Linked DNA regions of Anolis sagrei. The protein of the gene in region 2 purifies or fractionates together with the protein of the main gene of each other region. This does not show direct contact. Links are inferred from orthologs where the notes say so. Each region holds a gene or a part of one and is shown on either strand. Other genes may lie near its edges. The genes, in order: UNC119 and LCK.

Evidence for each region.
Region 1: the proteins of LCK (region 2) and UNC119 purify together in Homo sapiens (affinity purification with western blotting; 3 studies listed by BioGRID and IntAct, with this or other methods). This does not show direct contact. The link is inferred for Anolis sagrei from reciprocal best matches to the Homo sapiens genes LCK and UNC119.

The regions. Positions count from the first base shown.
Region 1 is NC_090031.1:31,976,718-31,984,935, reverse strand, and holds the start of UNC119 (protein unc-119 homolog A), read right to left. Parts: upstream 3,481-8,218; 5' UTR 3,190-3,480; coding exon 2,880-3,189; intron 1-2,879. Other genes in the region: PIGS (GPI transamidase component PIG-S), read right to left, coding at 7,328-7,603. UniProt on the Homo sapiens protein: Involved in synaptic functions in photoreceptor cells, the signal transduction in immune cells as a Src family kinase activator, endosome recycling, the uptake of bacteria and endocytosis, protein trafficking in sensory neurons and as lipid-binding chaperone with specificity for a diverse subset of myristoylated proteins.
Region 2 is NC_090034.1:83,356,799-83,364,760, reverse strand, and holds the start of LCK (tyrosine-protein kinase Lck), read left to right. Parts: upstream 1-4,559; 5' UTR 4,560-4,619; coding exon 4,620-4,724; intron 4,725-7,509; coding exon 7,510-7,594; intron 7,595-7,962. UniProt on the Homo sapiens protein: Non-receptor tyrosine-protein kinase that plays an essential role in the selection and maturation of developing T-cells in the thymus and in the function of mature T-cells. Plays a key role in T-cell antigen receptor (TCR)-linked signal transduction pathways.

The DNA.
Region 1 (8,218 bases), on a different chromosome or scaffold from region 2:
GGGGGGACCCTTGTCTGAACCCCATTGAGTTCAATCCTGGCCCTGTATTCTCCCCAAAGTAAGAAGGTCCTTCTCCCAATGGAGATGTTTAAGAGGACCCTTTTCCAAAGTCAGTGGCATGCAATGCTGAGCCTAAAAGAGGGCCCTTCTCACAAATGGAAAAGCTTTCGAGGTGATCCTTGCACGAAACCCATTTGCATTCACCCCTTCATTACACCCCCAAAAATAAGACCCTTCCCCCAAGTGGAGAGCTTTAAAGGGTACCCTCAAGTGAAGCCCGTTCCACGCAATTCGCCACCCGAAAAAGGATACTTCTTCCTAATGGACAGCTTGAAAGAGAACCCTTCCTCTAAAGTCCACAGCACACAATCTGCCCCTTGATCTCCCCCCAAAAGAGAAGGTATATCTCCCAAAACGGAGAGGTTTTTGGGGGCCCTGTCTCCCAAATGGAAGAGGTTTAAAGGGGGCCTTTTAGTGAACTCCTTTGCTTGCAATACATCCCTTTATCCCCCCACCCCCAAAGGAAGGCCTTCCTTCCTTCCTAGAGTTGATAACTGCCAGGTGGAAATGGAAAGGTTTGGGAGGACCCTCTTCCTGAACCCATTGCTTGCAAATTTCCCCTTTTTTCTCCTTCAAAATGACTCAATCCTTCTCCCAAAGGGATGAGCTTCAAAGGACATTCCAGTGCTTGCACTTCACCCTCTTATCCCCCCAAAAGAGGGCCCTGTTTCTTTCCTAGTGTTGATAATTGCAAGGCAAATTGAGAGGTTTGGGGGGACCCTCTTCCCAAGCCTATTGCTTGCAATTACCCCCCCCCCCCCCACCAAAGGAGATGAACCTTTCCCCAAAGGATGAGCTTCAAAGGGGACCCTGTCACTTGCAACCCACCCCTTTGTCTCTCCAGAAGAGGGCCCTATTTCCTTCCTAGTGTTATAACTGAAACACAAATGGAGAGATTTGGGGGGACCCTCCTCCGAAGCCCATTGCTTGCAGTTATCTAATATATTTCCCCCCCAAAATGAGGCTATCCTGCTACCAAAAGGATGTGCTTCAAAGGGAACCCCATTACTTGCCATTCATCCCTCTCTCTCTCCAAAAGAGGGTCCTGTTTCCTTCCCAGTGTTGATATATCTGCAGGGCGCAAATGTAGAGCTTGGGGGGGGGGGGGGCTCTTCCAAAGCCAAATACTTGCAAATTTCTTTCTTTCCCTCCCAAAATGAGACTATCCTGCTCCCAAAAGGATGAGCTTCAAGGGAGATTCCATTACTTGCATTTCCCCCCCTCTCTCTCCAAAAGACCTCATTGATTGCATACACCCCTTTATCCCCCCCAAAAGAGGGCCCTGTTTCCTCTCTAGTGTTGATATCTGCAGGATGCAAATGGAGAGGTTTGGGGGGACCCTCTTCCCAAGCCTATTTCTTGAAGTTAACTAATATATTTCCCCCCAAAAAGGACATGAACCTTTTACTAAAAGGATGAGCTTCAACAGGGACCCCATTACTTGCAATTCACCCCTCTGTCTCTCCAAAAGAGGGTCTTGTTTCCTTCCTAGTGTTGATATCTGCAGGGTGCAAATGGAGAGGTTTGGGGGGACCCTCTTGCCAAGCCTATTGCTTGCAAATTTCCCTTTATTTCCGCCCCAAATGGGGATGAGCCTTTCTCTAAAAGGATGAGCTTCAAAGGGGACCCCATTACTTGCAACTCACTCCTCTCTCTCTCTCCCAAAGAGGGCCTTGAGTCCTTCCTAGTGTTGATATCTGCAGGGTGCAAATGGAGAGGTTTGGGGGGACCCTCTTGCCAAGCCTATTGCTTGCAAATTTCCCTTTATTTCCGCCCCAAATGGGGATGAGCCTTTCTCTAAAAGGATGAGCTTCAAAGGGGACCCCATTACTTGCAACTCACTCCTCTCTCTCTCTCCCAAAGAGGGCCTTGAGTCCTTCCTAGTGTTGATATCTGCAGGGCGCAAATGGAGAGGTTTGGGGGGACCCTCTTCCGAAGCCCATTTCTTGAAATTATCTAATATATTCCCCCCAAAAAGGAGATGAAACGTTTCCTAAAAGGATGAGCTTCAATGGGGACCCAATTACTTGCAATTCACCCCTCTGTCTCTCCAAAAGAGGGCCTTGTTTGCTTCCTAGTTGATATCTGCAAGGTGCAAATGGAGAGGTTTGGGGGGACCCTCTTGCCAAGCCTATTGCTTGCAAATTTCCCTTTATTTCCGCCCCAAATGGGGATGAGCCTTTTCCTCAAAGGATGAGCTTCAAGGGGGACCCCATTATTTGCAACTCACTCCTTTCTCTCTCCCCCAAAGAAGGCCTTGTTTCCTTCCTTGTTGATATCAGCAAGGTGCAAATGGAGAGGTGGGGGGGGGGACCCTCTTCTCAAGCCCATTGCTCACAAAGTACCCCATATTTTCCCCCCAAATGGGGATGAGCCTTTCCCTAAAAGGATAAGCTTCAAAGGGGACCCCATTATTTGCAACTCGCCCCTCTGTCTCTCTCCCAAAGAGGGCCTTGTTTCCTTCCTAGTTCATATCTGCAAGGCGCAAATGGAGAGGTATGGAGGGACCCTCTTCCCAAGCCCATTGCTCATAAAGTACCCCATATTTCCCCCCAAAAGGGGAAGAACCTTTTCCCAAAAGGATAAGCTTCAAAGGGGACCCCATTACTTGCAACTCACCCCTCTGTCTCTCTCCCAAAGAGGGCCTTGTTTCCTTCCTAGTGTTGCTATCTGCAGGGCGCAAATGGAGAGGTATGGGGGGACCTTCTTCCCAAGCCCATTGCTTTGTGTTAACTAATACATTTCCCCCCCAAAATGAGACGACCCTCTCCCCAAAAGGATGGGCTTCAAGGGAGACCCTTCTTTCCTTCCTTCCTTACCGGAGGTGATCTTGGGGAGGCCCAAGACATCCTCGGGGCTGATGCTGGCCTTGCGGAGGAGCTCCTCCTCGCTGCAAAGGGCCGAGGAAGAGGCCCCCGAGGAAGAGGAGGAGGAGGAGGCCGAAGATGGGGGGGCAGCCGCCGCCGCTCCCCCGGGGCCCATTCCTCCTCCTCCTGCGGTGCCAGCGCTGCTCCCCTTCTTCACCTTCATCTTCCCACCGGAGACGATGCCGCTTCTGCTTCGGGTCACAGAAGGGAGCGGATCTGCAAAGGAAGAAGAGGAGGAGGAAGAGGAGAGAGAATGGCTCATCCCCCCTTAAGCGCCTTTGCTGCAAATCCGCCGCCCCGCCCCTCGGGGAAAGGGGAGGAGCCAAAGCAGGCAGGGGGGAGGGAAGGAAAGAAGGGAGGGTGTCCTCTGAGCATGTGCAGAGTGCCAAGCAAAGCAAGAGGAATCAGAGAAGGAGGGAGGCGCTTCCTGGCTGGGAAAAGGGATGCTGGGGGGAGAGGTGGACATGCAAGTAGGGGAGGGGCTTGGGAATGTGTCCTCTGAGCATGTGCAGAGTGCCAAGCAAGGCAAGAGACATCAGAATGGAGGGAGGAGCCTCCTGGCTGGGAAAAGAGATGTTGAGCATGTGCAGAGTGCCAAGCAAGGCAAGAGGAATCAGAAAAGGAAGGAGGAGCTTCCTGGCTGGGAAAAGTTGGACATGCAAGGAGGGGAGGGGCTTGGGAATATGTCCTCTGAGCATGTGCAGAGTGCCATTGGAGTGCCAACTGTTGGAGGGCCGGATTATTACCCAGGCTCTTCCTGGGTGGGAAGAGATGGACATGCAAGGAGGGGAGGGGCTTGGGAATGTGTCCTCTGAGCATGTGCAGAGTGCCAAGCAAGGCCAGAGGAATCAGAAAGGAGGGAGGACCCTCCTGGCTGGGAAAAGGGATGCTGAGCATGTGCAGAGTGCCAAGCCAGGCAAGAGGAATCAGAAAAGGAGGGAGGCGCTTCCTAGCTGGGAAAAGGGATGCTGGGGGGAGAGGTGGAAAATGCAAGGAGGGGAGGGGCTTGGGAATGTGTCCCCTGAGCACGTGCAGAGTGCCAAGCAAAACAAGAGGAATCAGAAAAGGGAGGAGGGGCTTCCTGGCTGGGAAAAGGGATGCTGGGGGAAGAGATGGACATGCAAGAAATTTATTTATTTATTTATTTAAACCATTAAAGAAGGGAGGGGTTTGGGAATGTGTCCTCTGAGCATGTGCTGAGTGCCAAGCAAGGCAAGAGAAATCAGAATGGAGGGAGGAGCCTCCTGGGTGGGAAAAGATGGACATGCAAGGAGGAGAGGGGCTTGGGAATGTGTCCTCTGAGCATGTGCAGAGTGCCAAAGAAGGCAATAGGAATCAGAAAAGGAAGGAGGGGCTTCCTGGCTGGGAAAAGATGGACATGCAAGGAGGGAAAGGGCTTGGGAATGTGTCCTCTGAGCATGTGCAGAGTGCCAAGCAAGGCCAGAGGAATCAGAAAAGGAGGGAGGAGCTTCCTGGCTGGGAAAAGTGGTGCTGGGGGGAGAGGTGGACATACAAGGAGGGGAGGGGCTTGGGAATGTCTCCTCTGAGTATGTGCAGAGTGCCAAGCAAAGCAAGAGACATCAGAATGGAGGGAGGAGTCTCCTGGCTGGGAAAAGGGATGCTGGGGGGAGAGGTGGACATGCAAGGAGGGGAGGGGCTTGGGAATGTGTCCCCTGAGCATGTGCAGAGAGCCAAGCAAGGCAAGAGGAATCAGAAAAGGGAGGAGGGGCTTCCTGGCTGGGAAAAGGGATGCTGGGGGGAGAGATGGACATACAAGAAATGTATTTATTTATTTATTTAAACTATTAAAGAAGGGTTTGGGAATGTCTCCTCTGAGCATGTGCAGAGTGCCAAGCAAAGCAAGAGGAATCAGAATGGAGGGAGGAGCCTCCTGGGTGGGAAGAGATGGACATGCAAGGAGGGAAGGGGCTTGGGAATGTGTCCTCTGAGCATGTGCAGAGTGCCAAGCAAAGCAAGAGACATCAGAAAAGGGGGGAGGGGCTTCCTGGCTGGGAAAAGATGGACATGCAAGGAGGGGAGGGGTTTGGGAATGTGTCCCCTGAGCATGTGCAGAGTGCCAAGCAAGGAAAGAGGAATCAGAAAAGGAGGGAGGAGCTTCCTGGCTGGGAAAAGGGATGCTGGGGGGAGAGGTGAACATGCAAGGCGGGGAGGGGCTTGGGAATGTGTCCCCTGAGCATGTGCAGAGTGCCAAGCAAGGCAAGAGGAAGGAGAAAAAGAAGGAGGAGCCTCCTGGCTGGGAAAAGGGATGCTGGGGGAAGAGACAGACATGCAGACAGGGGAGGAGCTTGGGAATGTGTCCTCTGAGCATGAGCAGAGTGCCACGCAAGGCAAGAGGAATCAGAAAAGGGAGGAGGGGCTTCCTGGCTGGGAAAAGTTGGACATGCAAGGAGGGAAGGGGCTTGGGAATATGTCCTCTGAGCATGTGCAGAGTGCCAAGCAAGGCAAGAGAACATTTCTCCTGATGTTTCGCCTGCATCTATGGCAAGCATCCTCAGAGGTAGTGAGGTCTGTTGGAAATAGGACAATGGGTTTATATATCTGTGGAATGGCTGGTGTGGGACAAAGGACTTTTGTCTGCTGGAACTAGGTGTGAATGTTTCAACTGACCACCTTCATTAGCATTTGAAGGCCTGGCTGAGCCTGGGAAAATCTTTTGTTGAGAGGTGTTAAGATGTGCCTGGTTGTTTCCTCTCTGCTGTTTTGCTGTTGTAATTTTAGAGTTTTTTAATACTGGTAGCCAGATTTTGTTCATTTTCATGGTCTCTTCCTTCCTGTTGAAATTGTCCACATGCTTGTGGCGTTCAATGGCTTCTCTGTGTAGTCTGACATGGTGGTTGTTGGAGTGGTCCAGCATTTCTGTGTTCTCAAATAATATGCTGTGTCCAGGCTGGTTCATCAGGTGCTCCACTATGACTGACTTCTCTGGTTGAAGTAGTCTGCAGTGCCTTTTGTGTTCCTTGATGCGTGTCTGGGCAATGCTGCATTTGGTGGTCCCTCTGTAGACTTGTCCACAGCTGCATGGTATACGGTAGACTCCTGCAGAGGTGAGAGGATCCCTCTTGTCCTTTGCTGAACGTAGCATTTGTTGGATTTTCTTGGTGGGTTTGTAGATTGTTTGTATGTTGTGTTTCCTCATCAGCTTCCCAATGCGGTCAGTGGTTCCCTTGATGTATGGCAGGAACACTTTTCCTCTGGGTGGATCTTCATCTTGACTCTCGTGGCTTGTTCTTGGTCTTGCAGCTCTTCTGATGTCTGAGGTGGAGTATCCATTGGCCTGGAGAGCCCAGTTGAGGGGGTTCAGTTCATCTTGGAGGAGGTGGGCTTCCCAGATTATTTTTGCACGGTCTGCCAAGGCTTTAATGGGGCTTCTTTTTTGACTTGGGTGATGGAGTTTTGATGTAGATCTCTATCTGTGTGTGTGTGTTTTCTGTAGACGGTGTGACCCAATTGTTGATCTGGTTTGCGGATAACTAAGACATCTAGAAAAGGCAGTCTAATAATAAACAATAATAATTTCTAATACTCTAGGCCCTTGGGAAGAGTCTGATATTCAGAGATGAAGCCCAGACACTTGGAGTTAATGTGCGCTGTGTTATTGTGGACATGCTAATAAATAATAATAATAATAATAATAATAATAATAATAATAACAACAACAATAATACGACTAATAATAGATAAACAAAGGTTCAACAAGGGGACAAAAATGCAGAGGAAGGAGGTGATGCACACAACCTCTTAGATCAGGTGTCCTCAAACTTTTTAACCGGAGGGCCAGGTCACAGTCCCTCCAACTGTTGGAGGGCCAGATTATCATTTGAAAAAAACATGAATGAATGCACACTACACATACCTTATTTGTAGTGCAAAAAACACTTAAAAACAATACAATAATTAAAATGAAGAACAATTTAAGCAAGTATAAACTTATTAGTATATCAATGGGAAGTGTGGGCTTGCTTTTGGCTGGTGAGATAGGATTGCTGTTGTTGTTGTTGTTTTTGGGTGCTTTCAAGTTGTTTCAGACTTAGGTTGACCCTGAACAAGGGCCAGGTAAATGACCTTGGAGGACCGTATTCGGCCCTTGGGCCTTAGTTTGAAGAACCTTGTCCTAGATACTTGGAATCAACACAAATGTGAATATATTTCCTTTTACACCCAATTGTCTTTTATTTCAAACCCAAGTGCAAAATCAACCCGAATAAATAAATAAAATGCAAGGAGGGAGACGTGATGATAGCCGGAAAGTTGCTTTCAGGAGACGGACTTTTGGGGCACCAAAGAAGTGACTTTTTGGAAGAATTTTGTTTCCTTCCGACCTGTCCATTGGGGGATGCTGGGAGCTGCTGTGCAAAGGACAGCCAGCCGGCCTCTGGCGCTCAGTCCACTTTGCCCGGCTCCTTTTTGGTGGCCCGGCTCTCCCGCAGGATCTTGGCCATGGAGAGGAGGATGGGGACGGCCATAGGGAGGAAGAGCGGGATGTAAATGGCAAACTTCTGGTCGTCGGGGAAGTAGAGGAGGTGGAGGAGCGAAGGGTGGAAGAAGGCCCGCTCCGAGGATGTGACGGCCGCCTTGCTGGCCAGGAAGGCCGCCTCCAGGCGCCCGGCCTCCAGTTCCCGCAGGGCCTCCTCCGCAGACCCCACCGCATGGTAGACCTGCATCAAAGCAGGGAGAAACCCAGAATGAATGACTAGACCACCGCCTGGCACCACAGGACCAAGCAAAGGCCTAGGAAGGACCTCTTTCAGACCATTGGAACCTAGGGGAGGACGTATTATAGATCAACAACACCGTGGATAATAGGGAACTGCTGAAACAAATGACTTACGGCTCAAGGAGAACATATAGTTGCACGGAAGGACCTGCACAATGCCTAGAGGGGACATATTATGGATCAACAACACCATGGATAATAGAGAACTCTGCTGAAACGAATGACTTTCGGCTCAAGGAGAACGTATAGTTACATGGAAGGACCTACACAATGCCTAAAGCGGACATATTATGGATCAACAACACCATGGATAATAGAGAACTCTGCTGAAACTAATGACTTTCGGCTCAAGGAGAACGTAGTTACATGGAAGGACCTACACAATGCCTAGAGGGGACGTATTATGGATCAACAACACCATGGATAATAGAGAACTCTGCTGAAACGAATGACTTTCGGCTCAAGGAGAACGTATAGTTACATGGATGGACCTACACAATGCCTAAAGCGGACGTATTATGGATCAACAACACCATGGATAATAGAGAACTCTGCT
Region 2 (7,962 bases):
TTTGCAAAGGCAGCAAACAGCATGCAATGTTCAATGTATTGTCGAAGGCTTTCATGGCCGGAATCACTGCGTTGTTGTAGGTTTTTTCGGGCTTTATGGCCATGGTCTAGAGGCATTCTCTCCTGACGTTTTGCCTGCCTCCTCAGAGGTAGTGCATGGCAAGCCCCCTCAGAGGTAGTGCATGCAATGTGTCTGTTACTAGGTTGCAAGCTTTTGTTATGTTGTGTTTCCAGAGTCTTTCCAACACTCAGATGGGATAAACGTTGAAAAACAATATGAAAAGGAGAGAGGGAAGTATTTCTGAGTGTCACAAAGACTGGAAACACAACATACAAAAGCTTGAAATCCGCAAGCATGCGGACAATTTCTACAGAAGGGAGGAAACTATTAAAATGAACAAAATATGGGTTGTTGTAGGTTTTTCCGGGCTATATGGCCATGTTCTAGAGGCATTTTCTCCTGACGTTTCGCCTGCATCTATGGCAAGCATCCTCAGAGGTAGTGAGGTCTGTTGGAACTAGGAAAAGGGTTTTTTTATATCTGTGGAATGACCAGGGTTCGACAAAGGACTCTTGTCTGTTGGAGCTAGGTGTGAATGTTTCAACTGACTACCATGATTAGCATTTGATTGCCTGGCAGTGCCTGGAGCAATCTTTTGTTGAGATGTCCTTGTTTGTTTCCTCTCTGTTATTTTGCTGTTATAATTTTAGAGTTTTTTAATACTGGTAGCCAGATTGTGTTCATTTTCATGTTTCCTCCTTTATGTTGAAATTGTCCACATGCTTGTGGATTTCAATGGCGTCTCTGTGTAGTCTGACATGGTGGTTGTTGGAGTGGTCCAATATTTCTGTGTTCTCAAATAATATGCTATGTCCAGGTTGGTTCATCAGGTGCTCTGCTATGTCTGACTTCTCTGGTTGAAGTAGTCTGCAGTGCCTTTCATGTTCCTTGATTCGTGTTTGAGCGCTGCGTTTGGTGGTCCCTATGTAGAGCACAACAACAGAGTGGAAACAAACAAGGACATCTAATCACCTCTCAACAAAAGATTGCCCCAGGAACTGCCAGGCAATCAAATGCTAATCATGGTAGTCAGTTGAAACTTTCACACCTAGCTCCAACAGACAAGAGTCCTTTGTCCCACCCTGGTCATTCCACAGATATAAAAACCCCTTTTTCCTAGTTCCAGCAGAACTCACTACCTCTGAGGATGCTTGCCATAGATGCAGGCGAAACGTCAGGAGAAAATGCCTCTAGAACATGGCCATATAGCTCGAAAAAACCAACAACAACCCAATGATTCCAGCCATGAAAGCCTTCGACAATAGATTGAACAAAATATGGCTACCAGTGTTTAAAAAAAAATCTAAAATCAGGACAGTGAATAAAGAACAACACTCATAAATGGGAATTCCTGACAGGGCCAGCTAACACCTCCGAACAGATTCCCCCAGGTAGGAAGCAGTCTGGCTTTGAAGCTGCAAGGCCATTCAATGCTAATCAAGGTGATCAATTGCAGCATTCACACTTGCCTCAATCAGACAAGAGTTCTTTCTCCCACCCTGGACGTTCCACAGATATATAAATCCCACTTGCCTAGTTTCCAACAGACATCACAACCTCTGAGGATGCCTGCCATAGATGCAGGCGAAACGTTAGGAGAGAATGCTTCTAGAACATGGTCATACACCTCAGAAAACTCACAGCAACCCAATAAATACTGAAATGAAAACAATGTATTGTTCAATTACAAATCTAAAGCATATAAACACTAAAACTAAACCCAGGACTACTAAAAAGAATGAACTAAATTCACGAAAAACCTATTAAAATACGTAACACATGACACAACTCCCCCTGGCTTGGTCTTAACATTAATGTTATAATGTTAATTTTAATTATTTTTCATAATCAGAGAAAGTGACAAAGCCGTGTGCCCTACTATTTCAATTAATTTGCTGCAATATTCTAATTACTGTATAAATGTTGAGTCTCTGAAATGGTTGGGAGCAAAAGTATTTGGGATATTTCCCCCTCAGGTTTAGGGATCTCTACATTTGCATATCCATATAAATATAGATATGTATATATATGAATTGTGATTATCTTGGAGATGGGACATAAGACTAAACATGTCATTCTTTTGTGTTTCATATACATTTTATATGCTATTATAGTCTATAGGTTATTTTATACGCCGTATTTTTAATGATTTTGTGCATGGAGTCAAGTCAGTGTCCTCTGAACCATCAGAAAGCAAAGTTTTTGCATAATAATAAGAACACATTTAATAATAATACATATAATAAATGTAAAAATATAAATATAAATTAATGATTAAGGATTATAATAATGTCATTTGGACAATTTTGAATTTTGGATGAGTTCAGAATTCCAAATAAGGGGTTCAGTGCCTCTAAATATTCATTAAACAGATTACAAAATATTAAGAAGTGAGTCCTTGGTATATAATAATGCAGGCTGTATCATATCAGTGTGTAATGCTATACATTGCAATGGTCACAATTTGGCAAATACCAATTGGAATACTCATCTTATCGCTGAAAAAAAGTCCTAATTTCACCCCATTTTCCCACTTTGTTCCAAACACAGTCCTGGTTTCCCTTATTTTGGGAGTGATTGACCTTGGATCTGAGAGTTGTAGTTCATCCTTATCCAGAGAGCACTGAACCTAGCCGATGTCAGATCTGGACCAAACTTGGCACACAGACCCAACATGGCCCTCTGTGTATACAGGCCTGGTTTGAGGGTGATTGTCCTCTGCATATGGGAGTTGTAGTTCACCTTTATCCAGAGAGCCCTGAACCCAGCCAATGACGGATCTTGACCAAACTTGGCACACAGACCCAACATGGCCAATTGTGAATACTGGCAGGGTTTCGGGATGATTGACCTTGGCACATAGGAGTTGTAGTTCACCCTTCTCCAGAGAGCACTGAAGCCAGCCAAGAAAAAACCCAGCCGTCAAATGCCCTTTTCAAATAACCCGGTCATTGCCAGGTCGCCAAGCGAGTATATTTAGAATGTCAAGGTTTATGAGTTTGTGGCTGAGATTGTGGGTTTCCTCTTGGTCACTGCATTGACATCACTTTAGCCCTCAGATTTGGAGGACAAAATGTGATTGATTTCACTGCTTCTGCAATGTGATGCAAGTTTGCAAATTGTTTCTAAGGCTCCTTTTACACTGCCATATAATCCACTTTATAAATGCAGATAAACCACATCTGCTTTGAACTAGATTATATGAGACCCTTCCTACACTACCATATAAAATCAACATTGGCTCCTTCTAGACTTCCATATAACCCAGTTTATCAAAGCAGATAATCCACATTATTTGCTTTGAAGTGGATTATATGAGTCTACACTGCCATATAATCCAGTTCAAAGCAGACAATCTTGATTTTATATGGCAGTGTAAAAGGGGTCATGATCTGTTTTGAACTGGATTATATGATGCCCCATCTGAACTGCCATATAAAATCCAGATTATCTGCTTTGAACTGGGGCCCCATCTGCACTGCCATGTAAATCTGATCTGCTTTGAACTGGATTGTATTGCAGTGTAGACTTGTATAATCCAATTCAAAGCGGATAATGTGGATGACCTGTTTGATATTTATTTGTTTGTTTGTTTGTTTACTGTATTTGTATACCGCCTTTCTCAGGCAATCGGCGACTCAAGGTGGTTTCCAACAAAACAGTACATATAATATCACAAAACAAGTTAAAACATTAAAACAGTATAAAACAACAATAATAACAACATCATTAGCGTCTCCTTATTATCAAGCATTGTCCAATTCCGTCATCAAGTCATTCAATTTTCTATGTCATTTACTCTGTATTTGTAAACGCTTGCTTGAATAGCCATGTTTTAACTTGCCTCCGAAACATTAGTAGGGAGAGAGCCGATCTGATCTCCCTAGGGAGGGTGTTTCATAGCTGAGGGGCCACCACTGAGAAGGCCCTGTCTCTTATCCCCGCCAGATGTGCTTGTGTCGAAGGCAGGACTGAGAGCAAGGCCTCCCCAGATGACCTCAGGGTCCTTGAAGGTTCATAAGGGGAGATGCTTTTGGACAGGTAAATTGGACCAGAACCATTTAGGGCTTTAAAGGCCAAAGCCAGCACTTTGAATTGGGCCCAGTAGCAAACCGGCAGCCAGTGGAGCTGGCGCAACAAGAGGGCCGCTCCTGTTAGCAACCTGGCTGCCGTTCGTTGGACTAGTTGAAGCTTCTGGACCGTCTTCAAAGGCAACCCCACGTAGAGCACGTTGCAGTAGTCTATACGGGATATAACCAGAGCGTGGACTACTGTGGCCAAGTCAGACTTCCCAAGGTATGGGCACAGCTGGCGCACAAGTTTTAACTGTGCAAATACTCCCCTGGTCACCGCTGAGACCTGAGGTTCCAGGCTCAGCGATGAATCCAGGATCACACCCAAGTGGTCTCTGTTCCTTGGCTCTGATCAGGCCTTTTGGGGAACCTCTTGAAAGTCCTCTTGATTTTCCAATATCGTCTCTTTCTTTTTTGCAGAAGACAAAAGCTTGCGCAGGGAGCTGGGCCTCAGTGTCCCTTGCGTTCCTGTCGTGCACCAGAAGCATGGGCTGCTGCTGCAGTTTGGACTGTGATGAGGGCTGGGAGGAAGGGGACCTGGAGATCTGTCAGACCTGTCACTATCCCATCGACCCAGACACCAAGCCCCAGGTGAGAGGTTTTGCAACTGCACTGGAGAGTTAATGCAGTTTGGTACCACCTGGACTGCGATGGCTCCAGGCTTGGCAGACCCAGCCAGGATGCTATGGCTAATAACACAACGTAACATTATTGTGTTATAAATATAATTTTCTAGTTGGTGCTATCATGAAAACATTATTATTTTTAGTGTTGTTAGCTACTTTGGGTCTCTTTTTAGAGAGAGAAAGCCGGATATATATAGCAAATAAATACAATAATAATAATTAATAATAATGCAATGGAATCCTTAGGGTTGTAGTTTGGGGAGACCCAAGAGATGGCTGGAAGCCTTGCAAATCCAATAATACTAATACTACTTATAGTAGCTACCTACAGACCCACAACGAAAACACTACACTTGGAGGACCATCATCCTCCAGCTACGAGGGATCGTCTAAGTAAGTAAGTATTATTATTAGTATTATTACTAATATTATTAATACTTACTTACTTAGGCGATCCCTTGTAGCTGGAGGATGATGGTCCTCCAAGTGTAGTGTTTTCGTTGTGGGTCTGTAGGTAGCTGCGGAGACCTATTCTTGACCTGCACGTTCTTCCGCAGTGAGGACATCAGTTTCCAGGTGGAAGGCAGTCCTGGTCGCAGTTGGTTTGACCTGCCTTCCTTTTGGCATGTTTCTCCCCTTCTCACTTCATTCATGCTTCTAATTCCTCAGCACTGCTGGTCACAGCTGACCTCCAGTTAGAGCACTCAAAGGCCAGGGCTTCACAGTTCTCGGTGTTTATGCCACAGTTTTTAAGGTTGGCTTTAAGACCATCTTATTTATTTATTTATTTATTTATTTATTTATTTATTTATTAATGCACTTGTATACCGCTAATATCTCAGCCTAAATCGGCGACTCATTGCGGTTTACAACACTTAAAAACAACAATATTCAGATTAAAAGCATAAAACACATATACAGTACACAGTATTGGGCCACCAATACAGACCAACGCATCTCTTAACTAAAATCATAATCCAATTTCGTTGTCTGTGAATTGCCAGTCCTTGATCATGAACTTCATCGCACCGGATTAGCCGAATGCTTGTTCAAACATCCATGTCTTCAGTTTTTTTCGAAATACCATCAGCGAGGAGGCTGATCTTATCTCTATAGGGAGGGCATTCCAAAGCCGCGGGGCCACCACAGAAAAGGCCCTGTCTCTCGTTCCCGCCAGCCGCACCTGTGAAGCAGGTGGGATGGAGAGTAGGGCCTCTCCCGAAGATCTTAGGGTCCTGGTGGGCTGATAGGCCGAGATACGTTCGGATAGATATGTTGGGCCAGAACCGTTTAGGGCTTTAAAGGCCAATGCCAGCACTTTGAATCTTTAAATCTCTTTTCCTGTCTTCCAACATTACATTTTCCATTCTTGAGTTGTGTGTATAGTAACTACTTTGGGAGATGGTGATCGGTCATTCGGACAACGTGGCCAGTCCAGCAGAGTTGATGGCATAGGCTGACACTTGTCCGCCTGTCTTCCCAAGAGATTTGCAGGATTTTTCAGAGGCAACACTGATGGAAGTATGATGTCTGTAGACAATCCAGGTTTCGCAGGCATATAGCAGGGTTGGGAGGACAATGGCTTATAAACAAGCACCTTGGTATCCCTACAGATGTCCCGATCCTCAAACACTCTCTGCTTCATTTGGAAAAATGCTGCACTCGCAGAGCTCAGGTGATGTTGTATTTCAGTGTCAATGTTGACTTTTGTGGTGAGGTGGCTGCCAAGGTAGTGGAAATGGTCAACATTTTCTAATGTTACACCATTAAGCTGTATTTCTGGCATTGCAGAGGGATTGGCTGGTGCCTGCTGAAAGAGCACTTTTGTTTTCTTGATGTTCAATGAGAGGCCGAGCTACTCGTATGCTTCTGCAAAGGTGTTTAGAATGGCTTGTAGGACTTATTCTGAATGTGCACAGACTACGTTATCATCAGCATACTGGAGTTCTATAACAGATGTTTTTGCAATCTTGGTTTTGGTACATTGCAATAATAATGAAATGGAATCCTTGTTGTAGTTTGGGGAGACACAAGAGAAGGCTGAAGACCTTGTAAACCCAATAATAATAATAACAACAATACATTATTCAAGTTTATCAAAGCAGATAATCCGCATAGTCCTAGACACTTGGGAAGTGTCCAACGTGTGATCCAATACAACAATCAGCATAGTGATCTTGTCTGCTGTGTACTAATCTTGTTGTGTTTAAAATAATGATGATGATGATGATGATGATAATAATAATAATAATAATAATAATAATAATATGTAATCCTCAGAGTTGTCATTTGGGGAGGCATAAGAGGAGGCTGAAGACTTTGTAAATCCAACAACAACTGCTACCCACTTATGCTCATGGCTCAAGGCAGAGTATAACGCAGTTGAAATACCTAGATAAAACATAAGATCATTAAAACTTATTATATTAAAAGACACAGAGCAAGGATTAAAAGATATTAAAATCATCATGCCAACTAATACATTTAAAATTCAGTTTAAAATGGGCTTGGTAACCACACTCAGGCAGAGTTTGCCATGCAAAGTGAACATCAGAAAGAAAGAATGATGAAAATGTAGTATAATTGCACACACTTTTCAAGGCGGTAATCTTGCTCTGAGATTCCTCCATCTCAATCTGAGGACCAGAGAAAAAAGAACTGGGATGTAATAACTTCAGCATGAGATCCAGTTTGTTGGAAAACCTGGCCATGAAAGAATATTTGGTGTTTATTTGTTTGTTTGTTTACAGAGGCCGGCTTTGAATGGCTCCGAGTTTTACAACCCTCTTTTGTCTCCCGATGTAATGACACCTCCTCCGAGTTCACCTCTTCAAGGTAAATACAATCACCATCCTTCCTCCTCTTCCATCTTCAGGCAGCTGAATTGTGTGGGGCAGCAGAAATGGAATTGTTATAATTACATATGTGCTTTTCAAGACAATGCCCTTGTGCAGAGATTCCTCCATCTCACTTTAAAGACTAGAGAAGGAAAGAACTAGGATCTGATCCTTTGGACTCTTAAGGCAATACCGAGCAAAAGGGGTCTTAAATCTGCTGATGCCCACATTAATGTGTTCCTTATAATGGCAGTGCTGTATCTGTATTTCCAACACCATCTTGCATATTAAAAAGTGCATCTAGACTGCGGAATTGATGTACTTTGGCACCACTTTGAACTGCCATGGCTCAATGCTATGGGATCC